Oryzias latipes: one gene and its partners. The protein of the gene in region 4 interacts with the protein of the main gene of each other region in a biochemical or structural test. Links are inferred from orthologs where the notes say so. Each region holds a gene or a part of one and is shown on either strand. Other genes may lie near its edges.

Evidence for each region.
Region 1: the proteins of dnmt1 (region 4) and pcna form a complex in vitro, tested with the Homo sapiens proteins (3 studies listed by BioGRID, with this or other methods). The link is inferred for Oryzias latipes from reciprocal best matches to the Homo sapiens genes DNMT1 and PCNA.
Region 2: of the proteins of dnmt1 (region 4) and setd7, one has a biochemical effect on the other in vitro, tested with the Homo sapiens proteins (2 studies listed by BioGRID and IntAct, with this or other methods). The link is inferred for Oryzias latipes from reciprocal best matches to the Homo sapiens genes DNMT1 and SETD7.
Region 3: the proteins of dnmt1 (region 4) and rb1 form a complex in vitro, tested with the Homo sapiens proteins (2 studies listed by BioGRID). The link is inferred for Oryzias latipes from reciprocal best matches to the Homo sapiens genes DNMT1 and RB1.

Annotation. Positions count from the first base shown.
Region 1 is NC_019867.2:6,550,011-6,557,850, reverse strand, and holds pcna (proliferating cell nuclear antigen), read left to right. Parts: upstream 1-3,605; 5' UTR 3,606-3,847; coding exon 3,848-4,068; intron 4,069-4,285; exon of another isoform or gene 4,286-4,715; coding exon 4,716-4,813; exon of another isoform or gene 4,814-4,902; intron 4,903-4,908; coding exon 4,909-4,976; intron 4,977-4,995; exon of another isoform or gene 4,996-5,051; coding exon 5,052-5,246; intron 5,247-5,328; coding exon 5,329-5,452; intron 5,453-5,526; coding exon 5,527-5,603; 3' UTR 5,604-5,950; downstream 5,951-7,840. Other genes in the region: putative aminopeptidase W07G4.4, read left to right, coding at 1-12, 89-207, 291-374, 467-524, 1,345-1,526, 1,614-1,754. UniProt on the Homo sapiens protein: Auxiliary protein of DNA polymerase delta and epsilon, is involved in the control of eukaryotic DNA replication by increasing the polymerase's processibility during elongation of the leading strand.
Region 2 is NC_019868.2:27,265,820-27,273,785, forward strand, and holds the start of setd7 (histone-lysine N-methyltransferase SETD7), read right to left. Parts: upstream 4,373-7,966; 5' UTR 4,003-4,372; coding exon 3,963-4,002; intron 2,563-3,962; coding exon 2,433-2,562; intron 1,196-2,432; coding exon 994-1,195; intron 908-993; coding exon 718-907; intron 640-717; coding exon 558-639; intron 477-557; coding exon 359-476; intron 253-358; coding exon 95-252; intron 1-94. Other genes in the region: alpha-1,3-mannosyl-glycoprotein 4-beta-N-acetylglucosaminyltransferase B, read right to left, coding at 7,233-7,250. UniProt on the Homo sapiens protein: Histone methyltransferase that specifically monomethylates 'Lys-4' of histone H3. H3 'Lys-4' methylation represents a specific tag for epigenetic transcriptional activation.
Region 3 is NC_019872.2:15,911,182-15,918,552, reverse strand, and holds the end of rb1 (retinoblastoma-associated protein), read left to right. Parts: intron 1-399; coding exon 400-515; intron 516-696; coding exon 697-851; intron 852-2,033; coding exon 2,034-2,179; intron 2,180-4,224; coding exon 4,225-4,329; intron 4,330-4,405; coding exon 4,406-4,519; intron 4,520-4,602; coding exon 4,603-4,751; intron 4,752-4,830; coding exon 4,831-4,861; intron 4,862-4,951; coding exon 4,952-5,094; intron 5,095-5,195; coding exon 5,196-5,242; intron 5,243-5,327; coding exon 5,328-5,398; 3' UTR 5,399-6,260; downstream 6,261-7,371. UniProt on the Homo sapiens protein: Tumor suppressor that is a key regulator of the G1/S transition of the cell cycle. The hypophosphorylated form binds transcription regulators of the E2F family, preventing transcription of E2F-responsive genes.
Region 4 is NC_019866.2:8,441,836-8,449,989, reverse strand, and holds the start of dnmt1 (DNA (cytosine-5)-methyltransferase 1), read right to left. Parts: upstream 4,812-8,154; 5' UTR 4,665-4,811; coding exon 4,618-4,664; intron 4,196-4,617; coding exon 4,159-4,195; intron 3,843-4,158; coding exon 3,735-3,842; intron 3,645-3,734; coding exon 3,437-3,644; intron 3,353-3,436; coding exon 3,280-3,352; intron 3,187-3,279; coding exon 3,105-3,186; intron 3,032-3,104; coding exon 2,991-3,031; intron 2,915-2,990; coding exon 2,860-2,914; intron 2,745-2,859; coding exon 2,661-2,744; intron 2,579-2,660; coding exon 2,469-2,578; intron 2,348-2,468; coding exon 2,229-2,347; intron 2,141-2,228; coding exon 2,048-2,140; intron 1,974-2,047; coding exon 1,822-1,973; intron 1,717-1,821; coding exon 1,529-1,716; intron 1,231-1,528; coding exon 1,216-1,230; intron 491-1,215; coding exon 310-490; intron 228-309; coding exon 130-227; intron 1-129. UniProt on the Homo sapiens protein: Methylates CpG residues. Preferentially methylates hemimethylated DNA. Associates with DNA replication sites in S phase maintaining the methylation pattern in the newly synthesized strand, that is essential for epigenetic inheritance.

The DNA of each region.
Region 1 (7,840 bases), on a different chromosome or scaffold from region 4:
GTGTGGGTGCAGGTCAGTGAGGATCCTTTAAACTTGTCATCTTTTTTTCTTCTCTGAACTCATCCCAGCTGCCTGTGTGTTTTCTCAGACTGCTATGTGGCTGATGAGCTGGTGGTGTCCCGCGCTGGTCGCAGAGTGAGGGTGGGAAACACCGATGCGGAGGGACGCATGGTGATGGTGGACCTGCTCTGCGAGATGAAAGAGAAGGTGCAAAAGGGTTCATTAAAGTCCCATGTTGTCCCACTGGACTTCAGTTTTGTTGTTTCTCGTTGCATCATTTGTCTCTTTAGGCCCCGCGGGAGATCTCCCCTCACCTGTTCACGATTGCCACTCTGACCGGTCACGCAATCCGAGCCATGGGGCCCAACTACTCTGTAAGTCCTGCAGCGAAATTAACCATATGTGAATAATTATAGCCCAAACTACCGAATGTGGAGATGTAATCTCTTCAAACGGGATGTTTCAGATCATCATGGATAATGGGCCAGCTCATCGCAGTGGGAACGCCGCTCAGTGGCAAAAAGGTGAATCAAATCTTCACAGTTATAAATCTTCCCAAATTTTTTCACCACTTTTATATTTTCACTATTTTTCAACACTTGAAGTGGCAAAAAAAAAATTATTGCCACATTTCTGGGTGGAGTTTTGTGTCTGAAACTGTGCTGTGAATCATACTATTTGGTTTATTGATCGTAAAATTGTCTTATTTTTTTCTCCTTTAAATGTTTAGAGTTCATTTTGCTTAGCAGGAAAGACAACGCATTTGAAGACTTTTAGTCTTTGATGTTATAAATGTACTTTATTACAATAATAAATCTATTAAAATGTAATACATTTACATACTAAATCTGGTTGGATCTGTCAGTGCTTCCTGGAGTAAAATTATGGATCAGACAGAACTTGAACTGCAGAAATTGACAGTTTTAAAATCTTTTGGCGTGCAATTTCCAGGTTATCCAGCAGAGGGCGCTTGTGTAACTTTTTCAGAGTTAACAATAGAGAGAAAGGGAGAAATGCTCAGTGCTCACGTGTTGTGTGATTTTATGGAGCAATGAGTTGTATAAGCTAGAGACGCTACACCAGCCTGTTACCATCGTCCAATGTACGTAAAGATTGACACCATATTGGAAAGGGCAGTAAACAGTGGCACACACTTAGCAGATGAACATGGCATGCTTAATTTTGGTCCGACTGATCATCACAAAAATAAAAAACAGGGTGTGGTATTAATGTTTTTGTGCAAGGTGCAACAGATGAACGACATTTCAAACGTTTTCATTATTAAAAGCGTTCTATAGGAAACGCAGAGTATACGTTTACAGATCTTTGTTCTTCTTCCCACAGCTGGAGAGGTTCTAGGTGATGTGTTTGAGGTCTCCACGATCAGACGGGAGGACTATGAGTTCCACAAGGGCAAGTCTGAGTATGAGGACATTCTGCAGGCCAACAACCTGCCATCCTCCGCTACGCCTAGAGGACATCAGAGCCCCGCTGCTTTCCTCATCATGGCCTCGGGACTAGACAAGGTGCTCATATGCTACCAGGAAGCAAAAACGTCTTGGTATGGTGAAGAAAATGCATCAGTAAGTCTAACTTCTGATTTTCTCCCACAGCATGGTGTAGATTCTGACACCCCTCTGCCATACTCCCACATTGACATTGCTGGGTCCAGTGGTCCTTTCCCGGGTGTTCCAACAGGGGCTCCTGTGCTTGCCATGACAACCAACTACATCCTTAAAGATGGTCTGAATTAAAAATCTGAAAAGGCAAAGTTGTATTTTCCAAGTACAGTATTACAAAAAAAAAAACTATCTTTAACATCACAAATGGTTATTTCTCCTCCTTTGTTTACAACTTTAAGCTCTCTTCCTGTCAAAAGCCTGTTGGTTTGCTTAAATGGGTTATATACTCAGGGGTTGCTTACAAAAACATTTCATTTTGTGAGCATTAAAAGTATTTGGAAAAAGCTTCTTTTTTTTTTAAACTTCCTGTTGTTCGTGTCACATCAAGAACTGCACATTGCCTAATAAAGGTTTTTACAGCAACTTTATTGTTCAGATTGGTTTATTTTGAAGAGTAGTGTCACTAATTTTGGAACAACTCTTGTATGAGGAAGCACAGATAAATATATATAAAAATGGCAGCTCAGAAGCTGAACCAGTGACCTCAAGAATGTTTGAGGTGTTTTTACTTTCATTAAAACAGCACTGAGACAATGCCAAAGAAAATACTGGTGAAGAAATTACATTTCCTGAGTGTAATTTTATATATAAAATTAGTTTTGAATCTGTGTGTCAGCTTTTCTTATTTATTAAAATGCAAATTCCACATAAAACATCAAGCAATCATTGACAACATCCATGAGGTTAAAGTAGTAAAAAGAAACTTGATGCTCCATACATTTAAACTAGTCATAATCGGTGTTAACAAAGTCTGTATTGTTCAGTAAGATGTTGGAGTCAGTGGAAAGTAAAATTGATACTTTCCACTGTAAAGGTTTGCATCTTTAAGACTCAGGAGCAGAAGGTGTAAAAAAAGGGGCAGAATATTTGCTCCAGTGATAATATTAAAAATTAAGCAAATAAAATAAATGTGAAGATGAAGTTTTACTGATGTTTTGGATATACTTGATTAAAAAAATTTTTTTAACTTTTCTTACTCAGCAAAATTCTATTCTTCTCAATATATTCTCATCAATATAAACATAAAAAGAAAACTGGAAAGGATAATCAGCTGTGTCATAGAAAATCATTCAATTTCACTCTTTTGGTCTAATTGGTCTAAAAAAAACATTTACAATTGCCAGAATATCAGCTCTGCTTTCATCCAAACATGAAATATGAAAAATCATACAAAAAATTTGTCTTCGTGTTTATTTGATTCTTATTCAAGACTCTTTGATGAGAATGCGTATTGTTAATGCAGTCGAAAGAGTTTTAGTGTGTGTGTGAGTGATGGTGGTGTGCCTTGGGATTTTGATAAGAGGACTTTGGCCCGAGACAGTCTGAATATTATGCATTATGCTTTAGTAACATCATTTAAACGTTTATCTTTTTGTTTTGTACATTTGTAAATGATGCAATTTTCTTAAAACAAACATATGTGTAAAACATGAGACAAATTAATATTATTCAGGCATTCAATGTTACAAATGTACAACAACTCCATATATTGATCAACATTAGGAGCTTATTTCCTCAGATTTAATTAATATAGTAACTAGTGTCATTTTTGCAGGACATCTGATGACTTAAGAAAACTCTTCTCACTTTATTTTAAGAGTATTATAATCTACCACACCAAACAAGAGAAAACATTTATTTAACCAGTGTTTTGTTAAGAATGAGGTCACTTTCTTTTAAAAACAAAAACAATTAGACCTTTTAATTTCATTCTAAAATATTTTTGTAATATTTTTAAAAGTCAGAAATATTCCCAATTTGTATTAAAAACTACGGGAATATGTTTTACATGCCCAAAATGTGAAAATAATTCTTTTCAACAAGCAGATTCCTTTTTAAATCTCTAAACAAAAATGTTTTTGCAGATTTGCATCCAGCTTCCGTTTTATTGACGGAAGTGTGTCACACGTCCGGAAATGACGCAACGACGCAGCGTTATTAAACAACAGGCGTTTGCGCGGGCTTCCAGCTCAAATCTTGTGGTTGTTGTAGAAGACGCGTCTGTAGCCCGCGTGCCACACAAAGACTGAACTGCCAAAGCCGCTTTGTCATCGCCTACGTCGTGATTACTCCTCACTGCAGCCTCCTTTTACCGGAGCAGCGCTGAAAACCTCCACCAACCTTTGCCTTCTTTTTCGATCTACGCAACCCTCCACAGAATAACCATGTTTGAGGCTCGCCTGGTCCAGGGCTCCATCCTGAAAAAGGTCCTGGAAGCCCTGAAGGATTTGATCACAGAAGCCTGCTGGGACGTCAGTTCGTCCGGCATCTCTCTGCAGAGCATGGACTCGTCTCACGTATCCCTGGTGCAGCTCACTCTCCGGCACGACGGCTTCGACTCTTACCGCTGCGACAGAAACCTCGCCATGGGAGTCAACCTTAGCAGGTGACGGGGAGAAAAACAACAAAGTTTAATAAGAGGGAAGCTTCGTGTATAATCTGCATGTCATGTGTTCTGCCTATTAAATGTATTTAAAGTGATTATCAGGGGCTGACTTCAAGTTCAGACATTTACGAATTGTTCATGGTAATCGTGTGTGGCGCCAAAATCATCTTGGACGAGTGAAACGTCGATCGTTGTGAGGCCGACAAAGGAGGCCATCTTGCTGGAGAAGCCCGGGCATGTCTCCCTGCTCGGTTAACTCTTTACTGTCCACTCGCTGATTTCAACCAGCAAAAAAACAAAACGTCTAAAACGTTGACATGTGCAAATATGTCTTTGCGCTGTCACAGAGCCGCACTTGCTGCGGTACTTTAGCGCCAAAACTCTTGCCGGCAGTGTTGGCGGGAATCCTCAAAACCCGGGAACTTGCACTTCCGCTTACGTCACTCTTTCATAAGAGTTTCCGGAATTAGATTAGCATGTTGATACAAATACTTGGATCATTTTTTTTAAACATACCACGTTATCGTTTTTAAAATAAATTTACTTCAAACATAGTACTTTATACTTATAGATTAAAAGGTGACATTAATAAAAGCTAAATTTTTGCTATTCAAATAAAAGCTCAAATGTTTTACTGCTTTTCTCAGTATGTCCAAAATCCTGAAGTGTGCGGGAAATGAGGACATCATCACCCTCAGAGCGGAGGACGCCGCTGACACTCTGGCTCTTGTGTTTGAGACCATCAGTAAGTTTCTAACTGTTCGTCATACGGAAACTGTTCATCTGATGAAAATCCTCCAAAGTCTTTATGCTCCTTTTCACTTTTCTGTGTTCCTGCAGACCAAGAAAAAGTTTCAGATTATGAAATGAAGCTGATGGACCTGGATGTGGAGCAGCTGGGCATTCCAGTAGGTATTTTTTAATTACCTCTTCTGCAGTATTTCCCAGCATTCCCTGATCTTCACTTTCTTTGCTCCTGTCAGGAACAAGAGTACAGCTGCGTGGTGAAGATGCCCTCCGGGGAGTTCGCCCGTATTTGCCGTGACCTGTCGCAGATCGGCGACGCCGTCATGATCTCCTGTGCCAAAGACGGTGTTAAATTCTCCGCTTCGGGAGAGCTGGGCACGGGAAACATCAAGCTGTCCCAGACCAGCAATGTGGACAAAGAAGAAGAGGCCGTAAGTATGAGGGGTGGATCTGTCCTGCAGAGGAAAATCGGTTTGTTTTGACATCGTTTTGTAACTTCCCGCTTTCCTTCAGGTCACCATTGAGATGAATGAACCCGTCCAGCTGATTTTTGCTCTCAACTATCTGAACTTCTTCACCAAGGCCACTCCGCTGTCAAAGACTGTAACCCTTAGCATGTCTGCTGATATCCCCCTTGGTAAGGTGGCTTACGTTGTGTGTCCGTCATCACACCTGCTGAAGCTCGACCTCATCACATTTATCTGTTCACAGTGGTGGAGTACAAGATTGCCGATATGGGACACATCAAATACTACTTGGCCCCGAAGATCGATGAGGAAGCTTCTTAAGTTGGAAGCACAGACCGAAAAGGGGGGAGAATGCAGGTGATGGATGACTGGGACTCCTCCTGAAGGACTGAAGGGATCTTACTGTGGTGAACTGTGGTCACTCTGAGGTTCCTGGGCTCAAAATGAAGTCCAGGGACGCTCAGAGTAGCTGGCAGACACATCTGTCGTAGTTTCCAGCAATTGTTTTAGGCCTGTTCTCTCCCTCTTTTTATCCCGTTTGTTTGCAGGTATCCATTCTGTTGTAGATAACACCTCTGTAAATAATTCCTGTGGCGTCACACTGCAAGCTCCAAATGTTTTGTACTCATAAATTCAATCGGAAATAAAGGATTCAAGTTGTTAAAAAACGTTGTTTGCTGTCCACTTTATAGTTTCACTAGCAAACCTTTAATAAGTGCACATGTGTGTGGGTCAAACTTCAGATATTTTTGTTATTTTTCATCTGTTGGTATGCAATTCAAATAGATTTTATTTTTTGCTCCTGTCCCAGAGGAAAAGATGTGTAACCAGAAAACGCCCATTGGGTGGTGCTATTCCCCCTTTTTAAGGTAGAAGAGGTTTCAACGTGACCAAAAAATCAGCTTTTCAGCATGAGATATTCCAGGTTATCCACAGTGTTAGGTTGAGCTTTACAGTACAGTGAACAAAAAAGCAGCTCACTTTGATGGTCTGATTGGGATTTAACCACATAATCTGAGTTCTGAGCCTGCTTTCAGAGAAATTACATCCCACAGCATTATTAAAGTGGACCACCTTCAAATGAAACAAAGATAATCTACATATTCATGCAAATACATCAGACTGTGGGTCTGTTAAGTTCTGTTAGTTTTGCCTTGAATCTGCGTGAATATTTTAATGACATGCTGTTTTTGACGCGCAAATCAATTTCCTTTGCATGTTTTATTGCTTGTTTTAATTATAACAATCTTAACCCTTTATACTATTTCCATCTTTCTTTGTTGAAACATATTAACCAAAATAAAATTACTTCACCAAGAAAGACTTGACACTGGTGCCAAAAAAATGCTATTATTGTGAAAAACACAGGATATAGAAAAATTATTAAAGGTTGTGTAGTTTAACCCCTTCATGCCTGAGTTTATTTTCAATTCTTCTTCCACTTTCGGCTTCTCCCATCAGGGGTCGCCACAGCGAACAAGTCGCATGGTAAATTTGGCAATGTTTTACGCCGGATGCCCTTCCTGGCGCAACCTTCTCTAACCGGGCTTGGAACCGGCAGAGGTAGAGAAGGGAACAGGGAGCAGCCTGGAGTCGAACCCGGGTTTCACGGACGGAAGGCGCCGCAAACCAGCACGTTTATTGTGATGCCAATTTAAGTGTAATTTGATTAAATGGTATGTGCTGAATTAGTGACACAGCATGAAGGTTTAACCTAAAATAAAGGTATTTCAACTTAGACATCTTATATCTGTGAAGAATTCTGAGTTTGATAAAAATGTTAAAAATATCTTACAGTGAAACATTGACTCTGAATATAAATGACTGTAGCTAACTATGATAAACATGTTTTGGACAAAAAGAAATAAAATAAAACATTTCACCTAGTTCTTCAAAAATACCAAGGCTTTTGAAAGTAATAGAAAGTGAGAAGAAAGTAAAAAAGTAAATGCAGATTTTTTTTCAAATACCTTTTAGAGAAAATTCCAAATCCTTGATTAATTCATTAAAAAGTAAAGGCAAAAATCAATAGGTCTGTTTTATTTACCTTTTAATTGCCTTGCAGGGATGAGGTGAGTTTATTCAAAAGCAACAAAATTCACATCATGCCAAAGCAGTTTTGATACTTCTGCCTGTTCTAAGTCTGAAACTAAAACTGTACGTTTTAAAAGAACAGCTGTTGCTTGGCAACAAGCCTTAAGTATGTTTCAGTCCTCCGACAAATTGTTTTTTTATGTTTCAGTTTCTGACAGGATTAAAGAAGATGCCACAAGTTAATTAGGGTAGATTTGAAGGTGCTTTTAGAGGGATTTTCTCATTTCTGGACGATGTCAGGGTGCAGCCTTGTGGCTTCTCCTGCGACTGTCTAAAGCAGCAAATATTTAAAATAATTTTCCTCATTTGCAGCGTTCCTTTAATAAGGAATATTCTGATACAGTTCAGAAGCAGGGAGAGGAGTGGACCTCTTGTCTCTGTTATCCCAGAAAATCCAAATTCTATCTAGTAAAAAAGGGGATTTCCTGTCTTTGGATTTATTTCTGTTGCATTCAAAAAACAAA
Region 2 (7,966 bases), on a different chromosome or scaffold from region 4:
ATTTCCTTGATTTCAAGTGCAAATTAAGTGTTATATGGAATCAAATCTCTAAAAACAGAGAGAAACCAGCACGAAGGAGCAGGTTTATACGTACGGGTCGTATTTGCAGTTGGGCGTAAAGGAGTGGTTGGCCTTGTGACCCAAAGAAGCGCAGTATCTCTCGGTCTGATCGAACGGCTTTGGCACATCAATGACGGTGTCTTCATCCAGGGAGATCGTGTTCCCGTTGAGGGCCCAGTCCCGGCTGTCCACCTAACAAACCCACCACAGCAAAAACGCCCTCTGTTGAGTTTTAAATAAGCAAACAAGAAGGTCAAGATGCACAGTGACAGTAGAGGGCTCCCTAAACGTCCCGCACCTCGGAGTGGGTGATGCGAACCCCGTTGTAAAAGGCCATGACGGTACCAGGCTCCGAGTCCTTCTTGGCGAAGAGGCCCTGCCCTGCTCCTTTGATCTTCGAATCGGCCACAAACACCCTGGAAGGAACAAAAGTGCAGAATCATTCCAAGTCTGTTTCCCAAGGAGGAGAAATCAGAGAAGGACTGACAGGAGCCCACCTTTGGCTCTCGTATGGGTCTGGGAGGAGAGTGTGGGTGGCAATGCAGGTAGACGTAGACTTATCATACGAGTACACGGGACCTTCAAAGTAAAGACATTGTCATTTTCCTGTCCAGCTTTTATTTCGTAGGCCAGTTCCTGATGGATGCACACACTTACTGTTGGGGGCAACTTCAAAGCGAGGCCTTCCGTGGTCTTTGGAGATCATTGTGGCGGATCGGGCTTCGATGATCTCCCCATCCACAAAGCTTCCATAAAGAGCGGTGCATCCATCAGGGTAGATGTACGCCATGGACTTTCCGGTCATCTCCCCTTCCTCGTTCACCTCCCCAAACACACAGCCTCCGTCCTGGATGCGCCGCCGAGAAGCACAAAGCCAACACCGTCACCAAAGCAGCGCAAGAGCCGCCACGACCGTCAGGGTGCTCGACTCACGGGGTAGTAGATCCAACACTCTCCACAGCGGGCGTCGTCTTTGTACTGGCCGTTAAACGACAGATGACCCTCACTGTCAAACTCCTGAGCAGGTCCGTTGAGCTCGCCGTCAACGTACATTCCATTGAGGACCCCTCCGTCTTCATAGGTGTACACCCCCTGACCCTGCAGGGCGTCATCCACATAGTAGCCTTCCAAGGTACTGCAGTCAGAAGGACAGGTCAATGGAGTTCAAATGAATCTGAAATCTGCATTTCTGCTTAATGGCGTCAAATTATTGCGTTAATTGTGATTAGTTTATCAACTAAGAACTCAGCAGCAAATGCGTCTTGCATTGCTCTCTGTGTCAATAGTGTTCCTAGCTGTGACGTCATCAATGTGAGACTTTGTAGTGCTTAACAGAAATAACCCAAAACAAAGCCACAAATGTTTTCTATCATGTCAGGGATAAAGCCAGACGAAGTGTTTGTTGTCATAAATTAATGCGGAACATGAAGGGCAGATCGCATCGGACAGTAAACTGTAGAATAATGTATCTATGTATAAATGATGATGATGTAACAGGAAGAATTCATACATAATATATTTATCTGTGGTCGATCTGTAAAGGGTTGATCTTGATTCGTGAATAAAATCGGATCGTCACCTAAGTAACTATCCATGGGCCTAATCCAGGACGTCTTCCTGTTTTCTACACGGTAGATTTCTTAAATATTGTCAAAGTATCAATACAGAAAATTCACTGTAAGAGTTTTTTTCCACTTAAATGTAGCTCGAAGTCTGTAGATTTTAAAATACATGTTTATACTCTGTGGTCTATGCAGAATGCAGCCCTTTTGATACCCAGAACTGTGCTCAAAACACATTTTAACTGCTTTTTAGATCTCATATTCTAAATGGTCAGACCCACTCCTACATATTTGTTAGAAATTATTTAATATAATGAATACAGACACTTGAGTTTTATGATTTTTGGATTACCACACAGGACAATAGGGCTGCACTATGTTAGGAACACTTGTGATTTGCGATATCAGTGATCAATATTGCAATGATGATATAACTTGCGATAAATGAACAAATAGCGAAAGCAACTATGTACATCAATTCCATTTCACTGCAAGAGTCAGCATAACTTGCTTTACACTCCAAAGACCTTAGTCTACATAGGAGGCATATATATAACATAAAAGGGCTCCTTACGATTGGTGTAAAGGAGTCTATCTGATTGGTCAAATGCATAATGGTATTTATTTGATTCGTTAAATACTTTAAGCTGCCAAAAGATTGTTTTAGCAAATTTAAGGTAACCCTTTATCGCAATTTTCATCAACTTTTGCGATATGCGTATTGCACATCTTGATTTCGCGATAACGATAAATTTGCGATTTTTTGTGCAGGCCTAAATGACAATAAATCTGTTTAGGTTTCTACCCTACCTTCCGTCAAAGAAGAAGAACTTGCCCTTGCCATTCTTCTCTCCGTGGGTGAAGTGTCCCTCAAAGCGATCGCTGGATGAGTACGTTACGGTGCAGAATCCGTGAGGCAGACCGTCGTCATCCAGTGGTCCTAAAATAAAATCAACACCATGAATATTTAGTGACATGGAAACCACAAAGAAGACAGGACTAAACGACTACTCTACCGGTAGTCGTTTAAGGGAGTAGCTTAGGTTAATCTTAGAGGGTTTTATGTGTTTCTATTCTGTTGTGTGTCTTTTAGCCTTGGTGTTCTTGTAGGAAGTCCAGAAAAACGAAAAAAAACAGAGAAAGATTTCGTTGGAGCATAGAAAAATAAAGCAGGGATGAAGACAGAATGACACACAAAAAAGCCCTAACAGGTTCTGTGAATTCATGGAATATGGGTCTGATTTCAGAACAATTCACCTTCTTTGTTCCCTGGCTTCAGACTGGCACTTCTTGTGCCTGGCTCTCTCTTCACACACTTGCCAATACCCTTTGCATTGATCAAGGGTTGTGATGTATTCTGCAGCTCCAATCTTTTCCAGCAGGTCATCTGTTCTGGGCACTACACACCCCCAAATCCTCATTGACAGCCAGGCCGGGGAATTTGTTTATCCAGATATAATTGCTTTTTGCATTTGGTTCTTTTATTTACATGGTCTAGTCAAAAATGTAAAAACCTGTGTTGTCATCTAGGACATAGTTTCTGCAGAGCAGCAGAAAGTTCATCTGAGTTTGTGGGTGGAACCGTTAGTGCCTCCCTCTTTTTGAGAATTCTCTCCCGCTGCCTTACAGCCCATCAAACCCCCAATCGAACCTTCTCAGACGAGGAAAACAAAGAAAGACGTACACAGATTTCTTTGTCTACAAGTGGATGCATCAGAATGGGCGGAGCAGGGAGCTTTTGCTCCGCCCAGTGTGTTTTTACATCACAAATGCTATTTTTTTCAAATATCATTCCTCAATTTACTCCTTAAGAATTACTTAATACATTAGGTTTTCAGCATAGGTTTTTTTTACATGTCCAACATCATCAGAAAATTGGCATAAGAACAACAAAAACACAGTTTTGGTCAGACTTGTGTTTGTTTTCTTCCAATCCCTTAACATGTAAAAAAACAAAACAAACTAAAGTTTAACTGAAGACATCTGTGGTTAAATTAGTGACTCAGCAAATATAAAAGACTAATTATTATTTATGTATATAAGAATTATCTGTAGACATTTGACATTTGCATTAATATGTCACCTTATAATCTTTAAATTCATAAATCGAATATTGAAACCATTCCTGCAGCGGGACACTGAAATTACACAGACCGGCCTCGATCACCCTCTAAACGGACTGCTTCTGAAATCGAGTCACCGGCTTCAGAAACACCACAAAGGCCCACCATCAAACTCGCACGTGCGTGTCTCGTAGTAGTAAACATAACGCTCAGATCAGTGCCGTCATGTCCACGCGCCAGTTACACGTTGCGTCAGAAAGAATGGGGGTTTACCTACCTACCACCACCTCCTCTTCATTCTCTTCGTCGCTCTCCATTCCTCCGGAGGCCGCCGGCCGAACACCACCACGCGGCGGCAGTTCCCGTCACCCATACGGCTGCATGCCGCCAGCGCGTCACGTGACACCCCGATCAGACACACCGTGCAGCAGAACGTTCGCGACTGTTTATCCTGCTTATGCTTTTACTGTTGTTCGCTCCACAAAATCAAATAATCAAACTAAATTTGGCACTTTTTATTATAGGTAAGGTGACGTTCCAATGGAGGAGTACTCCATTATCAGAGACAGGAGGTGCTGTTTATCTAATATACACAAACAATTTGAATTCATCCACGTGACTGCACATTAGCCCAGTTATAACTCTGAGTTCATGTTATAACCTGGTTCACGTTTTTGCATTTTTATTCAGGTAAAACCTGATCCGGAAGTGGGGCAGAGCAGGCTGTTCAAACAACTCAGCTGCTTGTGTCGAATGATCTATAGACCACCTCCTCATGTTGTGGCTCATGACTCACTTTGCTTCTTGAACACCAGCAGAGGATTAACTAACCTCTCTGTCTCACACCTGCATGTAGATAAGATGCATTCGAAAGAACCTCTATTTTTAGGCTCAAAATTGCATTTCTCAGTACTTTTTAATTCTAATCATTGTGAATCAGGAAAAGATGAAAAATGCAGTTTGAAAAAAAATCGTCTTTGCAATGTAATAAATATATGTGAGATGCAGGAACGTCTTTGTTTGTCCTCGTTTCCTCAAAACTGTATGGCTGCATAGCTCCAATATTGCTCCCCATTTTTGTTGCACCATTATTGTCGCGTTGGAGGGGCTGTAAGCTAGTGGGAGAGTCTGATGGAAAAGTGGAACTGGGTTTGCTCTCCGCCCATTGGATATATATCCGTCTGCAAGTGGATGCATCAGAATGGAGCTGAGAAGGGCGCTTGAGGCGGATTTTCTGCGTCATGGACACAAATTTTTTTCAAACAGCCTTTTTTCATCTGCTCCTGATTCACAACTTTTTGAATAAAGATATGCTCAGACATGCAGTTTTGGGCTTAAATTGTTGTGTTTTCCAGAACAGAGATACCAGAAGCAAACGAATGTAGAGCTTCAGCGAACCTCATGTTTTCTCCCTGACACACCCTATGATGGATGGCAGGACTTATAGGCCTTTCATACTTCAAAAATCCCCCGATGACTTTTTAAAAAAATTTTAATGAAAACATTCTCAGTGGTGTTTTAATTATGATTATAAAGTGTTTAACTAAAATCTAACAACCTAAATGTATTTAAAGCTACATTTCATGTTTATCTGAAAACCTCTGCTTATATGGGCAAGGCCGTTATTGCTGAACTGAGTATGAAAAAATCTAAAAATATATAGTAAAAAAAGAAATAGTCAGAAATGCAAAAATGAAATTATTTCCTATTATATTTGCTCTAAAAAACATGATTTTCATCAGAGGGGGACTTCAAATATGACCCTTTTCTGCAATAAAACGAGTACCCTCATGTGGCCACTAGGGAGCAGTGTCACACACCAAAACAGGAAGATAAAATTATTTGGACAATTAAATGTATGAACGGGAGCAAATTATGAGATGGAAGAGATCATTACCAAGAAAACATCTCCAACTGATTAAAACTGATGAAACTCAGGGAGCCAAATGTCTAAAGTGGAATATAAATCCAGTAAAGAGAATGCCAGGATGTTTGATTAGGTACAGGTGAGTACAACACATGTGATCCTATCCAGAATATTTTACTTTCACAACCTTGTATTTTTAACAGTTTAGTGCCTATTTAATCACTAGAATCTTCCAGTGTTGTGAAAGTAAGGAGGATTTTTATGTTTATTTGCTGCATGACCTGCAGTTCATTCTTATGAAAGAGCTTCACCTTCAAAATACAGCTTTTAACTCCCTAAAACTCCCTTTTGTTTCCACCCATCCAAGCTGATTTATTCATAAACAGCAGGTCAACCTTTAAAAGGAAGATGGCAGGTTCAGCCTATGGCCCTGCCGGCCCATTTGTTGAAGTGTCCTTGGGCAAGAACCCCACATTGGTATTATGCATCTATCTATCTATCTATAGATATATATATCTATAGATATATATACTTATGTAAGTTGCGTAATCATTATTTGCCAACACTCTATTATCACCATAATATGATTGTCTCAGTTCTATCTTTCAGTTAGAAAGCAATGACCTGAAATGTTCTGATTATACAAGAATATGATGTTCCTGTTATTCCTGATTAAATGACCTACATTCAGTTTTCAATAAAAAGAGGCTCCATGCACTAGGAAGGCTTAACTCCTCTGTGACAGTTCGCGCTGTGACAGGCTGATTCTCATGCAGACGTCTAGCAGGAATTCTCATCTCCTGTGGGGTTCTTCTCTTCATTAAGGAAAAAGTCAGAACCCTGACAATATATTAGCAGAGGCGTTTTTTCCGGATTCAATTAATAAACGTGCCTCAAAAAATGATATAAAATCAGCTACAGTATACATACAGTTTGTTATGGAGGAGTTTTTCCAGGAACTTGGTGATTTTATTTGTGCTTTTTGCAGAAAGTGACAGTAAAAGGAGATTTAAAGATGAACTTTTTTTATCTTTGGTTACTAGTTTGAATATTCAAATTCAAACGTACTTTATTACTCCCTCACATCTCGAACAAGATCAGACAATATTATATTAGTATAATATTGGTATAGTTTAAACTAATGTTTACCAAGTTAACGACAGACGTGGCATCACTTCAAGAAGAAAATGAAACCATTTAGTTTTCATTTCTTTTCAACAGAGCAGGACTCCTGTTGCAGCTTTAATGCAGATTTGTTTCTTTTTACTAAATCAAGTGTCTGAAATTTTTGTTTTCCTTGTTTCCTTTTTTACACATTATTTTCTTTTATAAAAACAGCTTTAAAGAAATGAAAAACATCAGATCAAAGCAACGTTTTAACTAAACAACGACGACAGAAAAACAAATAATTAGTACTGGAACTGTAATGAGGATTTCTTAATTTGGTAAAGAAAGACAGGATCATGTTTCTGGATCATGTGATGACACATTTTCTTTATTTGTACAAAAAAACAGTCTTTAGTGCAAACCAGAGTTCCATCTATACGGAGTAGCAGCAGAGATGTGCCAGGTTCTTTCCACAGAATAATTTAACCCCTTCATCTTCTTCAGACGTGTCTGCCGATGAAGGCACTTGGGCTTTGAAGTCTTTGTCCTTTAGGGGGAGCGAGAGGAGTTTCCTCAAACTTTTATGTGAACCTGACGGACAGGAAAGGTGAACATTAGGTCAGACGCGCTCAGAGGAAACTTTTAAACGTTGATCAGACACATGACATTTAAGGAAATCCAACACCCAGAGCTTTGTCAACAAAGAATGTAGACTTTGGTTTTTTTAAGTCCTGCCTTCACAACAGCCGTTCCCACAGAAACATGATTGTGTCTACATTAAAACAAGTTTCGCTTTGCGTTTTTTTTTTCCCTTTCAAAACACTCACTCAACCAGAAACACCTAACCCTAACCACCTCTTTGCATTTTACATGCATAGATTAGATTGATTAATACTGAGGAATACAAGATTTAACCTTACGTCTAGTAAAATGTGTTTTTTATATACACAAAACAGAAATATTTAAATGATTTCCATGTAAAGTGGAAAGTTCAGTGAAAGCTGCCTGACAAATGGAAGAACGTGTTTTTTTCTTTATTTATGAATATTAAAACTAATCTGCAGAAAGATTTAATGTAGTTCTTAAAAACATCTATTAGTCATTACTTTTGGTTTGATGCTACCTTAAGGAGAAAATACTAAAAAATAGTGAGTCGAACACGAATCCCGACAAGAACCTGGTTTATTTTTTTTTAGCCCCCGTAGTGGACAGCTGACAGATAACGTAAACCCAGCAACTGTTAGAAGAATTAAATTAAATTACTTTATTTAGATAAAATAGGATTAATGAGCTTTTATGCTAAAGTG
Region 3 (7,371 bases), on a different chromosome or scaffold from region 4:
AACTTGTTCTAAAGTTTATATACATCTGCACATCAATCTATCAGTATAAAACACAAATCAAATCAGATAACAAGAATGATCAAAAGAACATTTACAAAATAGAGCCAGAAAGAACCTGATAATCTATTTCAGTAAAGATCACTTTTATCATAGAACTATGTATTTTTGAATCTATTCTTACAGCCTTGAATATTACTGATAGCCATAAGTTATGTGAGTGACCATGACTTGAACATGAATGATGACCAAAAAAACTATAATTCCTTTTTTAGCTGATTAAATGTATCGTTTTAACCTGTATTTTAATGTCTTTGTGTGCATTTCATAACACTGTGCGGTATTTTCATTCTGGTTGAGGTGAAGTTTATGATAAAGACTTAAATGATTCTGTTTTTGTAGGGCTCCCCTTTGTTTGAGCTGCTGAAGCGGGAAAATGAAGCTGGAGCCACAGAACAGGCCGAGCCCCCGGCGAGTTTCAGCTTACCTCTGCAACACAACCACACGGCAGCTGACCTGTGAGCCAATCTTTCCCTCAGCTCACACGGAACTGTTCTAAACCTGAAATATATGTTACTGTTATGAATGAGGACAAATCGTCAGTTCATTTGTCTTGGTTTAAATGCATGACTCAACACGGGGCCTCCTTACTTGTGGTGGAAATGACGCATGCTTCTTTGGCTTCTTCTCCATCTACAGATATCTATCCCCAATTCGCCCAGGTCTCCGTGTCTTGCCTCCTGAATCACCAGCCACGCCCAGCTCTCAGGCTTCCTCTCAGCCGACACCTCAGGCAGCAGGCCAAGCTCCACGGCAACCAAAGTCTAACTCTCTGAGCCTCTTCTATAAAAAATGTAAGATGTTTCTGTGATTATTTCCTTGATGTCAGTTTAACAAGAGCTATTGGTGCTGGTGGATATTGGTGACAACAAGTGAGACTTGGCTTGGCTGTAGTAAGGCTTCATCGTCCATCAGAAGAACAGCTCATGTGAGATGTTTTAAAAAAATAAAAGGTTTTGGACACATTGAGAGTAGGGACAGTGGTTATGCTGGTAAAAGGCTGCTTAACACCAACAAAGAGACCTAGAGGAAGACCAAATAGGAGTTTCATGGTTTTAATAAGGAAGTTTATGTGAACGAGGAAGAAACAAAGAAGAGGGTTAGATGGAGGTGAATGATTCACTGTGTAACTCCTAAAGGGAACAGCTAAAAAAAACAAAGAACGTGTCTGTAAGGAGTCATTGAATGAATGAGTTAAGCTTTATTTATATATCTCTTCACAACGCCTTCAGGGTATGAAAGTGTTTTACAATAAGAGACCACAGAACATTTGAAATTAACTTAACTCTTAGTACAACAGATTTATTGTCCAATCAGAGACAGACATCCATCTACATAATCTAAGAAGATGTTAAAGTTCCACTTTGATCGTATTTTTATCTAATGTAAAAACCTATCCTGTGTGTCCAGCCGTAGTTCTGAGCCACATACCAGCTCAGACAAGGAAAAGGAAGATGTTTTTGGATCTCTTTGTCTATAAGTGGATGAATCAGAATAGAACAGAGCAGGGAGCTTGTGTCCGCCCAGTGTATTTTCTATGTAACAAATACGATCTTTTTCAAACAGCATTTTTTTCATCTGCTCCTGATTCACAACAGCTTGAATAGAGATATACTCAGAAAATGAATTTTAAGCTAAATTTTCTTCACATGTCCTCCATCATCAGAATTATGTCACAAGATCATGTTAAAAACACCCAAAACACCATTTTCATCAGTGTGGGTTCTTGTTGAGTCCCTAACATCCTTTAAGCTACAGTTCTATATTACCTATTTTGTTTTAGCTTACTCACTTTTTGTAGTTCAAGGCTTTTATTAGTTTACCTGGAATTGGATGAATCATACATCTAACTTCCTGTTAGAATTTTGTTTTTTGTTTCATTTACAAATAACTTTTTATTTTCCTTATTTTTAAACTAGTTTGAATTGGGTCGTCCACTGGTAAAACGGAAAGTTCCTCTTTTTCTATTTCTATAGTGTATCGACTGGCATATACGAGGCTGAAGACTCTTTGTTCCTGCCTGCTTTCCAACCACCCGGACCTGGAGCACGTTATATGGACTCTGTTCCAGCACACGCTGCAATATGAGTATGATCTAATGAGGGACCGTCACCTTGACCAGGTGTGCTCGCCTTATCGTGCTCTAATGATTGTTTTTTTCTAGTTATGTAAAGCTAGAATTTCTTTATGTTTCTATTTTCCTACCAATTTCTTTCCTTTTTATTATCATGCTTTTTAAGAGATTATTAAGAATCTGTGACGTTAAAGGTATCCCTTATAACAATGGCGCCTTCTCTCAACATTTGTCACGATGAATAATCACAGCGAGGGAAAAGTAGAACTCGGTGTACGAGCTTTACCAGTCCAGGACAACAGAGAACAAGAAGAAGGAAGTTCTACATTTCTCTGTCAGACAAAAAGACCATCCATATAAATAAAATGCATGAACTTGAAACACTCTGGACTGACAGAATACAGATCACACAAACACAAAAAATAAACTCTCCATCAAAGAAAAATAAAAAAAGCACCTCCCACCCTTCTCTGCTGCTCCATCTTCACTCAAAATAAACTACAAATGTGTATTATTTTAGAATATTAAACTACAGTGATACAAATAATCCTCAAGGGATCCATAAATGTTACATCTAGTTTAATGATATAGTCTTTACTAGTGATGTGTAGATGAGGCCACGTGAAGCGTTTCAACACATTGCCCAAACTGTAATGATACTGTGTCGATACTGTGTCACTTAATACTGACTGGACCAAAAACGTTATTGCAGGGAACCAAGTTAAGAAACTCAGCTGATATACTTTTTAAATTGAAGCTAAACACAATATTTGTCATAGTAGTTCCTTATTCCCATGTCTCGCTCTATAATGCCCCAGCATTAGGAAAGTGCTTTTAAGTTTGACGGTTCTGCAGAACAAATGCCACATTTAACCTCTGAAACATAAAATGACTGATTAGAGTTCGTTGGAAATAGAATTATATTCTGCTAGATCAAGCGGAAACCGAGAGGAAGAGGAGAAACAAAAAGCCAGAAACACTATTAAAACTATTAAATAATTCCGCGAACCTCATTAAAACACCACATTTAACACCTTAAGTAAAGATTCAGTAAAATAAAACCTCAAACACAGGTGGGCGGGGAAAACGGCGGCACACGAGCGCGAGAATCATTCAACAGCTGGAAGCAGGGCGCGCATCTGAGGCATCAAAAACTGTTCTTCAGTCCAACTCACCGCTGGACTTATTTAGCACCCAAGTGACAGTAATGTAACCAAGAAGATCTGGTAATTTTTCAAAATATAATAACTTTCAAAATAAAAGACTGCTTAGAGACTCATTATAAAACTAACTAAAACCTGCAAAGTTGACGCGAAAACCACACAAATCAAATTTTCTCAGCAAAATCAAACCCACCCAATTGGGTGGAAAACCGCATGATCTGGCAACACTGCTGGTAGACGCGCTTCCTTGTTTGGCTCACAGTGGCTGTATCGGTCACGTGACTTCTCCTAAAGGGATACGCGCAGCGACACAGGGTTTCACTCTATGAGCTTTACACGTGAGCCGATGCGTCTGTGTTGCCAGACCCATCAATAGTCTTCACACTTTATATATTTACCATCATTTGACTCTAACTCAAGTACCGGTAGTTGATGGAGTCCACCCTTCTTCCATAATGAGAAACTGGAATTCCCTATTCCTAGGATCACATATGGAAATGTGATTATCTATTTATTGTGAAATATCTCCAATAAAAAGAGCAGTGAAGGAGGATGGAGGCTCCTCAGGGAATTCCTGTTTTAATGTCTTCTTAACACCGATCACCAGGTTAAAGATTTATCACAGATTCACCTAGGCTGGCAGCTGCGCTTCTGAGCTTGGTTGTCCATTTTGGTCACCATAGCAGTGGCAGCTGTGGTGCAGAGGAAGAGCGGTCGACCTCTGATTGGAAGATCGCAGGTCCGGTTCCCGCTGCGCTGAATGTGTTGAACCTCACATTTCTCCTCATGGTTATAGAATGACCCCAGTGTTTGGCAGTGGAGCCGTCATCAGTGTGTGAATGTGTGTGCATGAGTGAATGTTAGAAGTTTTTATGAACTTTTCTGGCAGTAGTGAAGAAGAATCTGACTAAAGTTCAATCATCTCTGCAGTTGATGATGTCTGCCATGTATGCAATTTGCAAAGTAAAAAGCGTCGACCTGCGCTTCAAGTTAATCGTCTCTGCCTACAAGAACATGCCCAACACCAGCCAAGAGGTGATGCAACTTTCAAAAAACTCTAATATAAACTCTTCTTTTTGAACAGTGACTTATGAGAATGTTGTTTTTTCAGACCTTTAAGCACGTGTTGATCACAGAAGGCCAGTACGACTCCATCATCGTCTTCTACAATCAAGTGTTTATGCAGAAGTTAAAAACCAACATCCTGCAGTATGCATCCACCCGGGTGAGAGACTTCAGACCTGTTTAACAGTGTGCTTTTATTGCAAATGTACTCGTCTCAGTGCATCTGCTGTCCTTTCTCTCCAGCCACCTACTCTTTCTCCGATCCCTCAAATCCCATGCAGTCCCTACAAGTTCCCAAACTCCCCTCTGCGTGTGCCGGGAAGCAACAATGTGTACATTTCTCCTCTAAAAAACTCACGCCTGTCTCCGGGTATGATGACTCCTCGCTCCAGGTCAGTCCCAAGAGCTTAGAATATGTCAATACTTTAGAAATATTTCCTTACAATATATTAATTTTTTTCCTTTGTGCAGAATGCTGGTTTCCATTGGTGAATCTTTTGGGGTTTGTGATTTTTTAAAATAAAAATTATTATTTTACTCATGGCTGGAGAAGCTGCTACATTTTCTTTTCTTTCCTTTTTTTGGTCTACAGTTTGCCAACCGCTTCCAGAAAATCAACCAGATGGTGAACAGCGGTGACCGCGCTCACAAGAGGACTCTGGATGGTGGCTCTGCTCTAAAGCCTCTGAAGAGGCTACGCTTTGATGTGGACGGGCAGGATGAAGCTGATGGCAGGTTTGTGACAATTCGACTTCAAAATTCAAGCTTGAGAGTACCGCCACAAATCAGGCTTATTTGACTTAACATCTGGATCATTTTTTCATTTCAATTTACAGCAAATCTGGAGGAGAGTCTGCACTGATACAGAAGCTTGCAGAGATGAGTAAGAAAAACACCTGTGCCTTTGCATGTCCCGCTGAACTCCTGCGGTTGTTTTCTCACACATCTTCATGCTGCTTTTCTTGCAGGCTCCACTCGCAGTCGAATGCAAGAGCAGAAGATGAAGGAGGATGCAGAATCCAGGAAAAAAACAACCTAAGATCTGCTGGACTGACCTGCACTGTTTGAACACTACTGTTTGTCCGCACACAAAGTGAAACCCAAGTTGCTTTTGGATTTTTTTGTGCACCTTTAGCTGCTTTTAGTTTATAGTTTGATTGAAAGAGTAGTTTGATGACATCGATTCTCTCCCCTTTTTTTGTCTTTGTCATGCTTTGAGTTTTTTAACTAAATAATGACTTTTATAGAATTGTGGTTGTTCCTGATGTGGGTTTGGTTTATTATAGTTGCTCCTTTTAAGGAGGAATCATTTGTTTCAAACGTCATTGGTTTTACTTCTGTCTTGGAAAACTGTCTATTCTTACATGTTTGGATCATGATGATCCAGCATTTTAAATGTTGATTCGTGGTTACTGTCAACACAAAGGAATCTGTCTCAGATGCAGATTGCTGTCTGGAAGTTTAGGGTCATGTCCTTAAGGGAGAAAATCGCATGTTCGACCAAAAAGGTCAACATATTGAAGGATCTGGTGACTAGTGTTGGTTTTTCTTGGACTAAACCTAAAAATGTTTATATTTTAGGTTTGTTTTAACTTTTGGTGAAAAAGGAAAATGGAAAAAAAAAAATTTCATAGTGTTTAAGTACTGAAAGAATATTTTTACGTATTCACTTCTGTGGTGAACTGAAGGTTGTTTTTGTGAGGACAAGGCAAATTCTAAAATAGGGAAACTAATTTAATTTACTGAATAATAAAGTACACGTGTAGCCTATATGTGGGGTTCATTCTAGAAAAATCCCCAGTGTAAAATATTGTTATTTCAGTGAACAGAGTTTAAGATGAATGCTTTAATAATGTGATATGCTCAACAAGTTCCTGGAAATAAAGATAATGAAACACAGTTAAATAGTTTCTTGTCTTTCATCTTTACACTGTTTCTCTTTTGTTTTTGTTCTAAACTTATAAAAAAGCTATGAGCTCATCTTTTAGAGGAAGATTTTCCACCGCCTGCTTTGCTACCTGACATTTACGAGAGGCTACAGCCAGCCGGGCTTCAAATCTAAGTAAAACTGATTAAAGAAAGTGAACATTCCACATAAAATGCAATTAACTGACCTTTTGTTGTAATGTCAATTTAGCTGCTAACATTGACCATTCATCAGATATGCACAGGATAGGACACTTGCTGTGGAGACTACCGAACAGAAATTTGCAGCAAAGCAGGTAAGTTGAAAAAGAAATTAAACTGAAATCTTAATACTTCATTATTTTGAAGTTATGTGGCTTTTGCAATAACACAATTTAAAGAAAGTTGTTTAAAAAAAGGGGGGGGGGAAACTTAAGTATGTTACTTGCAGCTGCTTGTTTTTCCTGTTCCCCTTCTGTGAGCGTCCTCCATATCCTCTGGGAGGAAAGATGACAGCAGTTGGGTGCCCCTTAACAACTAGCTTAATTGTGCTGAGGCACTGGGTACAGAGCGGAGACCAGAGATAATTCCTGTTTGAATGCAGAAACTGTTTACTTTAAGCCCAGCTGAGCATGAAACACTTTGAACAGGTTACATTTTAATTGGCCATTCCCCTTGGGGAACTTTGGTGTGTTACAGAGTTTATTGGAAGCTGATGAATCCATCCAGTCAGGCGGCAGCACATGATCAGCAATGTTATCACTTTTCTTCTTCTTGAAGCTGAATGTACAATCTTCTGCTTTAATCTCCAAGTCTCCAAAAATAGTTGGCAAAAACTCGACTTTGTGTCTCCAGAGCCTGTGATTGTATTCTTACGTTGGGAAATCCACATAGAGGACTTTAGTTTTGTCTCCAGGAATGGAAAATCTCACGGTAAGAAGAGTTTTATTTGCATTACAGGATATGAAAAAGTGTTACGATATACATTTAAAAAAATTACGTATTTTTTTAAATCAAAATGTAAATTTTAGTTGGCTTCTGTTTTGACATTCTGTTTTTCTATACTCCTCACCTTATTTCTATCAAATGTTAGTCTTAATCACATTC
Region 4 (8,154 bases):
AAATATTTATCCTGCAGCAATGATTGTAGCGGCATATACGGCAAAGTTAAACTGAACCAGAACTTTTTTCCCATCAAAACGTTTGTGATGACTTGGACTTCCCACAAAGAGATCCTCAGACATCCTCACCTTCTCTGTTTACAGGCTTGCTTGCTTCGACCGCTTCCTCCAAACTTGATCATATCTTTGCAGGCGGTACATTTGCCGCAATCAGGAGACTGGCAAACCTAAAAAGATTCCAGTTTGTTAGATTTGGAGTTGTAACTTCACAAAAAACAAACAAACCAAAGAACACAATAACCAACTCACTTCACAAACGCCACAACGCTGCCTTTTGAGCGCACTCTCTTTATCGTTCTGCTCTATCTGGTCAGAGAAGAAGGCATCGAAGATCTGGTAGACCAGTTTAGTGGTTGTTGCCTTCGTCGGTCCTTTGCTGTCCTTCTCGATCTTCGTCGGGTGACGGATGGCTTGTCTTCTGGCAGCTCTCCTATCAACAAAACAGAGTCAGCGTTTAGAGGAGAGGCGGGTTTTGGAGCAGCACAAACACAGGATCGTATGGTGAGGGATGGAACTAAGAAGCTCCTGGCCGTAAACACACCACAGCATCAGGCCATGCAGCAGTACAAGCAAACAAAACTTAACCTTTGACCTTTGGAGAACTATGGAAAAAAACTTTAAAGATGAAATATTAACACTTAAACAGGATTTTTTTTCTTTGAAACTCTTTACCTCGGAAAATTTGTCAGAGAAATAAATCTAGTGATAATTCACGGCTTTTAAAATTTTGAAAGTATAAAACGTGAAATAATTTTATTTTGGAAAGACTTTTTTTTAAAAATTACTCTATTACCTTGAAAATAAAGCCAACTCTAGGCCTATTAATTTACCTCAAAACACAAATAAACATAAAAGATAAAAAAAGAAAGGAAGTTCTTAAGAAACATTTTCTTCAAGTTTCATGATAGTTTCATTTTTTTTTACATTTCTGACCTTTGACTTAAAATAATTTTGTTTCATCCCAAACTATTCCAACAAAACTTTACAAAAGCAAATCACACTGAAAGACCACAATATAAATCAAAATAACTGAAAATGAAAATAGTTTAAAAACCATGTATGTGTCTCAGTGTGAACTCTGTTCACTTTCTAAATGTTTGACAGAAAAACACCACATAGCAGAATAAAGATGCAATCACAGCAAGAACCACCTACCAGTACAGCAGCGTGCTGCATTAGGAAGTGTTAAAAACATGTTAGACATCAGGGAGACAAAGACTGACGTGCAGAAAATTAAAAAATAAAATTTAAAAAGGGTTCAATCTAAATACAATTAAGTGTTTTTAAGGATACATGGTCATAATCCCAAACTGTTCTACTTTATTATACAATAGTCGGGCAATTAAGTATCCCACCAAAAGGAGAGACCCTTTTTTCTTTTTAACTTTGAGGTGATGTCACTTAATTATGAACTTAAAAATTCTTAAATATAAATTTATTTACAAGCGTCTGAATGTATTAACTGTACCTTTTCCCCAGAGTGACTCCTGCGAGTTTGATGAGGTCTCTCATGCAGGGAGTGACGATGATGGGCTGCTCATCCGAGTCGCCAGCCTCGTCGTAGCTCTCCACCTGTTCCACCACAAACTGGGCGTGGCGCAGCAGAGTGTCTTCAGTGAAACAGTTGAAGTTTAGTCCTGCAGGAGGAACTGTTGTCTGAAAGTAGAAAAAGAAGATAGTCTGTCAAGATTCACATTTGATAAGGGGGGGGGGGGGGGGGGGGGGGTGTTAAAAAGAAAAACTTTAACTGAAAAACACCACCTCAATTTTGTTGAGGAGGTCTTCATAAGTAACATCTGGGTTTTTCTGGAGGAATTCTACCACTATCTTGCTCATATAGATCTTTTCCTGCATCAGTGCGAAAATGGGGGCATACTCCTCGCTGGGCTGCATCAAGATGTAATCCGCAAACGCTGCACAGAGAGAGTTGACATTAGTCTGAGAAACACTGGAAATTAAACTTTAGACGTGAAAACAACTGCGTTACCTGTTGTGAAACCAATTAGAGCCTTTTCTCCTCCATCAAACCCAGTGATCCACCAGGCGTTGATCGGCCCAAGCTTCTTTGCAGGAACTCCACCTGATTTTGCATCAAAAGAAGATGGATAAAGCAACAATAGAAACAAAATAAAATCTTTTATCAGTGCTTGAACTGAAGCATTTCTTACCATCCAAGCAAGGATTGTCATCGTAGATGGGTTTAACGGCACAGCTGAAGTAAAGCTCCACGTTCTTCTCAATCAGTCCGGAGTCAAACGGACACAGATGACCGCGTTTATCATACACGCTGAAAGGTAAAATATGCCATTATTCATGAAAAAATTAACAATAAAGCTAAGAAAAGGAGAATGTGGTGCAAACATTGTAAATATCTCTGGCGTCATTGTAACACTTAAACAACTGCAAACCTGAAATTTGTGATTCTGTGCTGTGGCAGATCATCGTAGCTCTCAAACCCATCCTCGTTTGAGTCAAAGAGGGAGAGACGCTCATCTGTTAACATCTCAGGTTCATCAAGCTGAAAAAGGGAAAGAAACCCATAAGGCAAAATAAAAATGTGTGTGCACCCACTATATATTAAATGGGTAGGAAATTCTCACAGCATTATCAGGATCTCCTTGAAAGAACTTCAGATCTGAGTCATCCAAAAACTGTCGGCAATCTTGACATTTGGGAGGTGGGGTCTAGAAAGACAACAAAAAAATGTATAAAAAAAAATGTATAAATAGTTTGTGTGTTTGGAATCACAGATGTTGGAAAAACAAAAGACATAAAAGAGCAGTTCTATCGATTAAATACCTTTGCAGCAGATACTGGCTTGGTTGTGTCATTCTTACAATCTTCTGCAGCAGAACTACAGCAGGAGAAGCGTAAATCAGTTTATCCGACATCAAAAAGTCAACACAAAAAGATCAGGAAAAATGAGTTACTTTTCATCAGATTCCACTTTGAGGCGCTTCTTCTCTTGAGACTACAATGCAAAACAATAAAACACTCAATTATATTAGACAATGAAGGCCACAAAGATGCCTCTTAATATGCACCTCTTCGACATCCTCCTCTTTCTTCACTTCATCTTTTCCATTGACACTTTCTTCACTCATTTCCTCAGACTTGCGCTTTTGACTGCAAAACAAATGTAATATTTATACATTACCACTTTTTTTGAATAAATGGAGCTTCCAATTATGCATATATACATATAAAACTTATACGCACACTTTGGAGAACATTGACAAGATAGTTGGCTGTTTCCCACTATTCCTGGTGACTCTTGCACTTGCTGGAGACTCTAGAAGTGGATGATTTTATATTTTAACACACTGATTTTTTAAAACCCATGACTGCATAATTAAAAAAAAAAAAAAAGGCCTACTTTTTGAATCACCATTGGACTTGCTCCTGCGTCCAGCCTTCCCTTTGGAAGGAGGCGGTGATTTGACATCATCTGTGCCCATGGCTTCTTCATCCTGCTCATCTTCATGAGAGCCGTTTGAGAAGCCATTTGTTTTTCCAACTTCCAAGTCATTCTCCAGATGAAGTTCCTTTCCCAATAAGGCCTTTACTTTTGATATGTATACCTCCTAAAAATGAAAAACAAACAAGAAATCAGCAAGCAGCCAACCAACAGAGGTAATTATTAAATTATGTTGCCATAATGGGATGTATCAAACCTTCGAGATCTCAGAACTTTTCATTTCTTTTTCAAGACTGGTCAACTGGGTTTGAGTATCATCATGCAGAAAGTCCTGCACCAACTTTAGCTTCTCTTTGACTTGATCCTAAAAAATATATATATTTTGTTTGTTTTCCAGATAAAAATATAAATCTTAAAACACACACAAACTACCATGACAGTTAAAAAAATATTTTTTTTAATAGGTAGCTACATCTTACATTCAAAAGAAGAAAGTATGCAGTAGCAAGATAACAGGGCAGCTTTTTTTTTTAAAGAAAAAAAAGCCATATTTGTATCCATGGTCTCATAATAAAATATGTTGGAAGCCTGGGCTCTAAATGAAACCATCTTTGCATGCATATTCAAAGTTGTCAAAGCAGAACACCCACATTGGGATTAACTACACTAAGAGCTTTTACCTCCTCTGAAGATCCGTCCTCCTCCAGCATCTGCAGTCTGTAAACAAATGGCATGTATTTGAACCGGAAATTGCAAGTTACAGGGCGCCAATCTTACAGAGCTACACATATTGTCTGTGATACCAAGATAATGATAAAAAAAAGCGTGGGTATCAGGACTTCCCAACTGGCGCCAAATGTCATGTCGTTCCATCACTGTGATGCTAACGTTGCTAGCGGGCTAGTAGAAGGGAAAACTACTTCAAACCTCCCTAATTGGTCGAATGGCATATGCTACAGCTAGCTGCAGCTGCTAGTACAAACCAAGGGTAACGTGCTCGTTAAGCCGAGCCCGCACAGGTAAACTCTAACTAAGGGAGTGACGAATGCGTGAGGGTCGTTGTTGTAGACTCTGACTCAGGATAAAACCACACTAGCTTCATCATGATTAGGGCAGCATTTAAGACACGTTATAAGTACCTTTTTCTGACATCGTCTGGCAAAGACAGGGACGTTCTGGATGGCATCGTAACTGCAAACTAAAAAATAAAACCGCTAAAACGAACTTTAGTACGCCGTCATCAAACACAAAGCAGAACCACTGGTAGCGACTGCCGCGTGCTGTCTCCTTATGTGAATGCTATAAGCAATTCGGGCGCGCGGGCCGTCTTTTCGCGCGGAAACCCGGGTGTTGTGGACTGTACCACCGTAACAATCCATGGGTAATACGTATTAAAAATAATGAACAATATTTCTACTAAAGTCATTTTAGGTTACCACAAACCCACGAACCACATACACAAATATAAGTTGCTCCTCAAAGAACTCCTAAATTATCAAAATGAGGTCATTTTACTTAATGATATGTAACCAGATGGATCGGTAAACCCCCACTCCTTTCCACAAACGTGTAGGTTAACTGTCAAAGCGGAAGCGACACGAAGTGTTTACATTGAGTTATGGATAAGGGGTGGGGGCTCCTTTCACACAATATATATATATATATATATATATATATATATATATATATATATATATATATATATATATATATATATATATATATATATATATATATATATATATATATATATATATATATATATATATTGTCTAAAAACAACAACAACAACAAAAACGGCCAAACCTCAGGCTCAGTGTCGAAGCCTTTTTGAATATTCAAATATTATTACAAAATTATAAATCACATTATAGCTAAAACAGTAACGGCTTTGGGGAATTTAATATCGAGTTCTAAGCAAAACCTCCCGGGTTATTTCCTTTAATTTATTTGCCTGTCTTGTATCCTAATTTTCTAGAAATAATTTTGCCAGGTGTACAGCACGTTTTACCTTTAAATAACTTTATATAAAGGCATCTGAAATTAGCATTTAAGCAGTCTTCTGTTTTATTTTTAGTTTAAAAAAAACTAAATCCCTTGCTACTGGTTTTACTTCCGGCTTTCGACTGGATTTCAAAATAATATTTCGATTCTGTCTTTTGTGCCAGTGAAAATTTGACTTTTTTAACTTAAAAAATTAATACAAAATACAATTTTGTTTATTTGTTTATTTCTTTAGCAAAGTTTAAGAACAACTGACTCTTGGGAAACAATTATAAAAAGGAAAAATAAACCGATTTCCTTAACCCTTGGGCTATCCTAGGCACTTCAACATTGGGAGTGAGGTCATCTAGACCCCACTAGACAGTGCGCTGAACCTTTTTCTTCAACGATTTGTGGTCTTCACTGGTGTCCATGGATTACATGACATCTTTCCACCTTAATCCACCTTTGTCATGGTATGAATAACCCTTGTGCTATTTTAGATGACCCCACCCTTACTTTGATGTGTTATTCCTACCATGACAAAGGTGGATAAAGGTGGAAAGATGTCATGTAATCCATGGACACCAGTGAGGTTCACAAAACATTGAAAAAAAAGGTTCAGTGCACTCTCTAGTGGGTCTAGATGACCCAACTCCCAATGGTAAAGTGCCTAGGATAGCACAAGGGATAGCGCGTCAATGGTCATCTTGACCCCATAGGATAGCACAAGGGTTAAGTTAGTGAAATTTATTTACTAACAGTCTAAAGCCAAAATACATTTCCATGTTTGGGTTTTAAGTAATGTCAAATCTGCAAGGATGTAAGCAGATCTGGTGCATTCAGAAAGAAATAGCTTATTTTGTCATACTTGGGAAGTTACAACATTTTTTTTCATTGGCTTCTGAAATAATGATGTGGCTTTGGAGTTACACAGGCAGAAGTTTGTTGCTGACTTGACTTTAAGATGCCAAGTTTATTTCAATTATTGGTATTTTAAGTATCCAAGTTATACTTTCAAAGATTGATGTTTTTACTTTATTCTTATTTTGATTAGCACAAAAAGAAAATATTGCTCAAGATCAACAGCTATTGTGCAGTTTTTCCACAAGATGGCGTCGTTACACAAGTGATGCCATGTGATTTTAAGCATCCTCTTATCATTTTTACAAATAAAATATTTCAAAAATAACTATCAATTGTTTTTCCAATAGCATAGTGTGTCAAAGGCTACTTATTGGTTTAAATGAACAAGAGAATGGACTGAAAAATGCAACATTTCAGTGACAAAACAAAGCAAAATGTTTCTTTTGGGGATGCTTTGGTCCACTGTCCTCTTTAATGTTTAATATAAAACAGAAATTCCGTCATTTCAAGAGTGTGAAATCTTGTGTTGGTGAAGCAACTTTAGATTCTCAAAGTCAAAAAGTGAAACTGGCTCTGTGACTGGGAGACAAACACTTGGCAAAACCTGGAAAATCAAATGGTTGATGTCACAAAATTGTGAAATTTAAAGTAACTTTACTCAATAAGCTGTTGAAACTATGGAGTACTTTCAGCCAAAACTTTCCAGGTGTGATGCTGTAAATTGCATTGCCAATCTAACTGAGGGTCCTTCCACCATACCATCATACAATGTCAGCAGACAATAAGATTTTAAGAGTTAATGCATATTCTAATCAAGATTTCCTTTTTACTATACATATGACACATTTCTAATCTACTTTAAAGTGTTTTAGGTGCATTACAAGATTATTTTTGTTTTCTGTAAAGATTTTTGTAGATTCAACTTGGAGGTTTTTGGTCCTGATGTAATATCCTGCTGGGCAATGGAAAGACTTGGCGGAATTCCCAACAGCAGAGCCTCCTGGGACGGATTCAGTCAATGTTCCCACCCAGGAATTCTGGACGTCTGACAGGAAACAGCCCCAACTCTCTCAAGGCCACCATAAGTCAGCCTCTGCCCCCTCCACCCCAAGCATCCCCCTCACCAAAAGCCCCTACAGGGTTATTTTGCTATGCTTCTCCCAGACAGTTATCAAACGAATAGACATAATTCTTTGCCACACCCATTATTTAGCCTCCCCATCTTCTGCCCAGCTTCCCATCATTGCCTCGTCTTGTTTTAGCCTTTAAGCAACGAAATAATTTTATTAGGCAACAGAGCTATGATTAATGCCCACGCAGTGTTTGCACGCACAATTTGAACCTTTTATGTTGGAGCAAAGGTTTCTCTGACCTTGTCAGAGCATGTTTGGATTTAATGCTGTATTCAAGTACTTTGAAGATGAAGGGAAAAAAAGAAAAAAAACAGAACATCTCTGGACCTGCAGAGAAATTTGAGAAATGACAGACAGCTCAAAATGAAAGTCATGCACACAAACACAATTTTCATAATTCATTTATTTTATAAAACTGGAATGCAATGAACAAAATGTTTATGTACCTACATTAGTGTTTTAGTTTGTACCAGTTTAACACACGCAGCGTGCTACAAGACACACAAAGCTATTGCACACAACACATCTCAGAAGTCATAAATTCATACATAGTATACAAAGATACAAACATACATACATATTGTTCATGTTTTCAATAAAAACCATGGTCAGGTTTTAATGAAGTCACTGGTACATTGATTGAAACATCTTACCACCTGATTGGAGTAAACTGGGAGAAGGAAACATCATTGA